Neurospora crassa OR74A: one gene and its partner. Each later gene encodes a partner of the first gene's protein in a complex. Links are inferred from orthologs where the notes say so. Each region holds a gene or a part of one and is shown in the gene's direction. Other genes may lie near its edges.

Region 1 (3,736 bases):
CGGACAGTCAATGAGACTAGACGCACCGACTACAGAGCCCAAAGATGTCGGGAAGAATGAACACCGGCGGTCGGCAGTGATGTCGCTGTCGGCACGTTGTTGAAGCCGGAGATCAACCCTGGGTCCCGCAACAGAAGGTTGGCTGAGACCGTGAAGGATGTGCTGTTGTTGATCGGGAATGTTGCCCAATTGGTGACGACGGTCGGGGCAAAGCACGCAATGGCGACGTCCGGAAAGATTGACTGATCGAGGCCAAGGGTTGCCGTCGTGATGGCAAGGCCTTGCGAGTCCAGGTGATGCGGAGTGGGAATGCTAGTTGGCGGACGGGAAAGGGAGGTATGATGTTTACGAGGCAGAGAAGAATGGGAGTCTTGTTTTTGCGAGGTCTTGGTGGAGGTGCCAGTGCCAGTGCAGCCCAGTGGATGGGGCTGGAGTGCCAGTGGACGGAGCGGGCGTGTGGACACCCACCCAGGTACCGGATCGGACGTGCTGGGACTGGGGCAAAGTACCTCTAGTGCCCTTCGAGGTCACTAGTGCAGCGAGGCTTTGAAGCTTTGAAGTCCAAGACACCGGAAAGGGAACAAAATTACCACAACAAGTGATGACGCGCCGTGCAATATGGGCTTCTGTCAGACGCACGTCTTGCTGTTCCCTGCCTTGCTAAGTTGTCGAATGATGAGGATGCCGTTGTCGAATAAGCAAGTCGAAAAGGTTGTACTGCCGAAGAAATGCAGGCTTCAATGGCCGGAGTCGAAAGTTGCTGTTGTTGCTGTAGCTGAAAGTCGATTGTCGTGCGTCCAGGGAAATGGTTGTTAGTCGGATGGTGAGTGTCGAGTTGCAGAATCCGGAGTCGAGAAAGCGGCCAGGAAATTGTACTTGGGCCGGGCGCTGTTATGGAGCACTGCAAGCAGAAGGGACAAAGAAGGGTCGCACCTCAAACACGCAGTGAAGGAACTGAAGGCGGCAAGGCCACCACAGGCCACGTCCCTCCCTTGCTGTCATCCGCCCGCCGTCAGGGCAACACTGGCAACCGCAGGGCAATTCGGTCAAATCAGCTTCTGATTGGTTTAAACTGTCCAACAGGCTGCGCGTGTCCAGCAGCTGTCAACACTAAGGTACCTTACCTATCCTGGGTCAGACGCGACTGGAACCTTGGGCGGGCAGGAATGGAGCACGATGCACGCTCTTTCCCCGCGCCGCACTGCACCTTCACGCGGTGATGACTTGGTGCCTTCCTCCCGCGCCCGCGTTTTGGAGCGCTGTTTGCAGCACTTGTCCCCTGGAAAGAAACAAGGCTCTTCACCAAAGGGCAGTGGCTGCACCACACAAGCCACACTATTAGCAGCCACAATCGTCAGGGATCGCAAACCAATGCACGGCTGTGATTGGCGCATCAGCCGAGCAATTTTCCACAAGCAGTTATCGACGACAAGCCGGCGACGAGAACCTCGACGAGCAGCCTGCGAGGACGTCGCATTCCGGTTGCTGGAAATCGCAGCAACTGTCCCCTCCAGCACCCTCACCTCCCCAGAGCTCACCGCCAGGAGCTTGGGATATCCGACAGCGATCGAGCAGCCATGCTGCAGCCTCAATTCCGACCCCTCCTTGCGGGGACAGCTTCCTTTGCCCAAACCGTGCTGGGCCGCACCGTCGCCAGATGCTATGCCACCAAGGCCGCCACACAATCAGCAAGCAGCACCAGCACCAGCAACACCAGCAAAGATGCCAAAGCCAAGATCGTCACTCCCTACGTCCGGGACGCCGGCATGATGAGAACCTACAAGCCGCACACGCCCGGTATCCGTCACTTGAAGCGCCCGATCAACGACCACCTGTGGAAGGGCCGGCCGTATCTTCCTCTTACCTTTCCCAAGAAGGGTCAATCTAAGGGTGGCCGTAATCACAGTGGTCGCGTCACCGTCAGACATCGCGGTGGTGGTCACAAGCGAAGAATCCGCATGGTCGACTTTGAACGATGGATCCCCGGTCCGCACACAGTCCTGCGCATTGAGTACGATCCCGGTCGCAGCGCGCACATTGCGCTGGTGAAGGAAGAGGCCACAGGGAGGAAGAGCTATATTGTTGCGGCGGATGGTATGAGGGCTGGAGACGTTGTGCAGAGCTACCGGTCCGGTCTTCCCCAGGACCTGCTCGATTCTATGGGTGGTGTCGTTGATCCTGGTATTCTGGCTGCGAGGACATGCTGGAGAGGCAACTGCTTGCCTGTGTCCATGATTCCGGTTGGAACCCAGATCTATTGCGTTGGCTCCCGTCCGGATGGCAAGGCTGTTTTCTGCCGCAGTGCCGGAACATATGCAACCATTATTTCCAAAGAGGAGGAGACCCGTGAGGATGGTACAAAGGTTATGACGGGCAAGTTCGTCAACGTAAGACTGCAGAGCGGAGAAATCAGAAGGGTCAGCAAGGACGCTTGCGCCACCGTTGGTATTGCCAGCAACATTATGCATCACTACAGACAACTGGGCAAGGCCGGTAGAAGCCGTTGGCTCAACATTAGGCCTACTGTGAGAGGTTTGGCGATGAACGCAAGTGAGTAGACTCCCAGAACAATCCGTTTGTCAAGCGAGCAAAACCAACTAACGGCCTGGTAGATGACCATCCTCACGGTGGTGGTCGTGGTAAGTCGAAGGGTAATAGGCACCCTGTTTCTCCTTGGGGTACACCTGTAAGTCATGCCCCTTTATTTCCTTCCTTCCTCTGAACAGACGCCTTACCCTCTTTTTCTGTAGGCCAAAGGTGGTTACAAGACTCGCAGAAAGTCCAACGTCAACAAGTGGGTGGTTACCCCCCGGGTCCGCAACATGGGAGTCCGGAGGAACAAGAAGACTACATGAATAAAATAACCCACTGTGCTCAACTTGGGCTATATACCCACCATCTTGTACAATATGTAGTGAAACTTATTCATTTGCTCGCAGGCCGGCAGTTCGAGGGCTCAGTATATCACCGGAAGGATGCCATGTGTGGGTATTGGGCCCAATAACATCGTCTGTTGGAGATCTGCCGTGTTTGTCTTTGTTTTCCACTTTCAACTGAGCAACTCTACGGCGATGTGGTTCAGGGCCCGGCCAAGGCCGTGACTGTGCCTATAAATCGGCATACGACTTCAGGAATGTACCAAAGACTACACATGGGGTTTGTTAGACTCCGTTGTCATATACCGACCCCAACTTAACAAATTTTTTATTGATTTATTTACTTATAAAATTTGTTTAATTTTCCTAAAAAAATTAAAAAATTTTTTTTTCCCTTTTTTTTTTTTTTTTTTTTTTTTTTTTTTTTTTTTTTTTTTTTTTTTTTGCGTTGATTATAGACAACAGACTACAATGAAAGAAACTGAAGGCGTTTGGTCATTGGAGTCGGTCGAGTTGTCCAATCACATTTTGCGTTCATCTCTTCTGCAAGGAGCAGAATAACAATGCCGTCCCCCTTCGCCCTTTCAGATCTGCTACCGGTTCTGTGAACGCCATCCTGAAAAAAAAAAAAAAATAGGGGCGTAAATAGCCGCGTGGGTAGACCTGAGCGCAGCGAGATTTATATGCATTCCAGCGGTGGTATCTTTACAGTGGTTGACTGTGTAAGGGCATATCACGACAGCGTCTCGGTATGCGCCCGCAATTCGGCCATACATACAACGCCATGAAGGAACGAGGGTCGACAAAAGGCAAGCATAGTCTCATCTCCATAGAGGTATACCACAAGATCAACGGGGGTG
Region 2 (3,103 bases), on another chromosome or scaffold:
GCGACAGACCTGATAGCCTCGGGGCCGTAGATAGGCTCCTTGGTGCCGGCGACATTGGCCAACCTACAAGCGAGTCGTTAGAGGTCTGCGTCCAGCGGATGGTGGGGGTGGTGCTTGGAGTACTCACGCCGCTTGCGCCCACTTGAACATGATGAAAGACTGGGGGGGGGGGGTATAGGGCGAAATGGGAAGAGTATAGATTACAGAAGCAAAAAGTCAAGACAACGAGGCGAAAATGAGTCTAGTTGTGAGAATTTTCCAGGTAGTTTGATGTTCAAGATTAAAGTCATTCACCGCCGTCGAGAAAGATGGGGCAGAGCTGAGATGGCGCCGCGCTCAGATAAAAGCCAATGGAAAACAGAAGGGGCAACCCAGTCTGTCCCAAATCTCCTACAAGTACGTACCTTTGGGCTTCCCCGCGGCCGACTGCCTCTAGCCGTGGCCCTCGATGCGTGGCAGTCGAGCAGCAAAGAAGACTCACTGGCTCTTGAAGGTGCACGTCACTGTTCCGCCCAACTCTCCACATCACCTGAGGACTTGACGATCGATTGGACCCTTTCAGGTTCCTACAGCGGGTCTGCAATCACTTGGAGCGTTCAGGTTTCGCAATGCTGTGTTCCCTTGCAGACTTGCAGCAGCTCGAACGCACCTTTGCGGCAGGGCAGGCGGCAGGCAATGACGGGAATGATCAATCCAAGTCACGCCCGGTACCCGTACTACGCCCCCACTTTTTTGGGACTCGCAAATTCGCACCCACCTAAGTGGGTGCTTACGAATAACACGGCCACACCACTAAAACGGCCACCAGGGTTAGAGGTGCGAATCAGATAAACGATACCAAAATAGTGAACGCCCACAACGTATTTCAACAACTAATTGAGAATAAAGAAAGAGTTAGAAGATAGTCAGGACAGAGTAATGTATCCGTTCAGCTTTTCATTTTTCAGAAATTTCTATATGTTGGGAAGTTGTGCTTTACCCTACGAATCGAGCCTCAAAACTGCACCTCTAACCCTGACCTGGCCGTTTTACTGGTGTGGCCGTAGTACCCGTGAGCACCCACTTTAGGGGGTGCGAGTTCTACGAGGTCCAAAAAAGTGGGGGCGTAGTACGGGTAGGAGAGCAATTGGGGACGAGCGAGGCCGGGACTTTCAGTTGACGGGCGGGCTCGGCGTCGATGCTGTACTAGTACTACTGTAAGCCACTAACGGCACTGAAAAGCGGCGATAAGGGACTGATTGCGGCACTTTACACTAAATAGTGTGTGGCTGAGGCTTTGAAGAAGTGGCTGACGTGACCCTGGCTGCAACGGTTGCCGGCCCGGCGCCCTGATTTTTTTTTGGGCCCAGCTTGAGGTGCCGCGCGCGGCGTCGCCGCCGCCGTTGCTGCCGCCGTCGCGAACGAGGATACCCGACCGACCTCGAAAGTGTAACACGCGACTGCAGACGCGCCGAATTACCGTTCCGTTCTCCTCCCAACTTAATTTCCCTCGAGGGTATCTGCAGTAGAGTCGCCAGAATGTCCAAGGCCGCAAAAGGTGGTGCTGGTGGTGTTGAGCAGGTGGTGAAGCTCATTGTCGGCGCCGGTCAGGCCAGCCCGAGTCCCCCGGTCGGTCCGGCCCTTGGTTCCAAGGGCATCAAGTCCATGGACTTTTGCAAGGTCGGTTTGCATGCGCCCACCCATATAATATCCACAACACAAGCTGACATGCGCTCAAATCTGTATAGGAGTTCAACGCCAGAACCGCCCATATCAACACCGGTACCCCTATGCCCGTCCGTGTTACCGTCAGGCCCGACCGCTCGTTCCACTTCGATGTCCGCACCCCTCACACATCATGGCTTCTGCTCAACGCCGCCGAGGCCCCGATAGGCAAGGGCGGCAAGAGAAAGGGCGCCAGCAACCCCGGCAAGGAGGTTGTCGGCACCGTCAGCCTCAAACATGTCTACGAGATTGCCAAGATCAAGCAGTCCGAGCTCCGTCTATCCGGCCTGCCCCTCGAGGGCCTCTGCAGGGCGGTCATCTACCAGGCCAGGTCGATCGGTATCAACGTTATCCCCTGAAAGAGGCTATACGCTGAAAGACATTATACGGGCTTGGGGGCACGAAGGCGTTACGGTTGTTTCTTTTAGGTGGATAGACCACGGCATTGTTACCAATATTGGATGCGGACTATAGCCATAGCTTGTGGCTCTGTGTATCTTTGCTTGTATCATTATTGTATGGCAAAATCTCAAAATGCACAGCGGTGCCTGGAGCTGTTGGTTGGTCCACGGAGTATGATCGTTTGGGAAAGGCTTCCACAAAAGGGTGCTGATGGCAGGCATGGCATATATGGGCATTTGCCGGTTTGCGTTTGCATTGCCTCAACGTACTCCAGCTTCGTCAACCTTGGCTCACATAGCTTGTGTTTGTGGAACACGCAGGCGTATGACGAGGATCTGTCTCTGTAGGATTAAGTTTTAAGGTTGGCGGTCACCAAGGTAGACCGCCCAACGGGTATTATGCTTACCTGAATGTAGGTGAGATGTGTTTATAATGCTTTTGGCTAAGCTGACTGCAAGACAAATCACACACATATATAAAAAGGGGTTTTGTAAACAAACATCCGCTTCGCCCAAGTGCTTATCCACCAGCCCACTTCTTACCACTCAGGCGAAGCCCCGGTATCATGTCGCCATGGTGTTCATCTCATGCTTTCAATACTAACGAGATGAAATGGATGATTGTTTAATATCCTACACGTGTGCAACGATTGCAATTACATTCAATGGCTTCTAGAACCATTCGGGCAATTACCTCCCGCAGCATGGCGGGGTATCGACATGGGTTACACCGAACCGAGCGATAAGGACCTGGTTTTCGGCGGTAGAGATCGACATAGAAAGCTGTTTACCATATCCGTTGGCAGTCCATCGAAAAAAAAGGTTGGGTGACATCAGGACAGTCACTGGAGACAAAGCTGACCACCAACACCACCTAGACTTGTCATCCATGCCTTTGCGGTGCCTCGGTCTTTCGGACACGGCGGCGCTCTAAAAGGCCGCTTTGACGGTGGTCGGGGCTGCTGCGGGATTCATACTTGACTCTCTGTTGTTCAGTT

Evidence for each region. The genes of interacting proteins can lie anywhere in the genome.
Region 2: NCU02757 (region 1) and NCU04336 share a complex: the UniProt entries of both Schizosaccharomyces pombe proteins name them as parts of the mitochondrial large ribosomal subunit. The link is inferred for Neurospora crassa OR74A from reciprocal best matches to the Schizosaccharomyces pombe genes rml2 and mrpl19.

What each region holds. Positions count from the first base shown.
Region 1 is NC_026501.1:3,455,405-3,459,140, reverse strand, and holds NCU02757 (mitochondrial 54S ribosomal protein RML2), read left to right. Parts: upstream 1-1,193; 5' UTR 1,194-1,577; coding exon 1,578-2,550; intron 2,551-2,612; coding exon 2,613-2,686; intron 2,687-2,750; coding exon 2,751-2,855; 3' UTR 2,856-3,224; downstream 3,225-3,736. UniProt on the Schizosaccharomyces pombe protein: Component of the mitochondrial ribosome (mitoribosome), a dedicated translation machinery responsible for the synthesis of mitochondrial genome-encoded proteins, including at least some of the essential transmembrane subunits of the mitochondrial respiratory chain.
Region 2 is NC_026504.1:3,733,344-3,736,446, forward strand, and holds NCU04336 (mitochondrial 54S ribosomal protein YmL19), read left to right. Parts: upstream 1-1,349; 5' UTR 1,350-1,518; coding exon 1,519-1,659; intron 1,660-1,727; coding exon 1,728-2,063; 3' UTR 2,064-2,598; downstream 2,599-3,103. Other genes in the region: NCU04337 (survival factor 1), read right to left, coding at 1-63, 128-150. UniProt on the Schizosaccharomyces pombe protein: Component of the mitochondrial ribosome (mitoribosome), a dedicated translation machinery responsible for the synthesis of mitochondrial genome-encoded proteins, including at least some of the essential transmembrane subunits of the mitochondrial respiratory chain.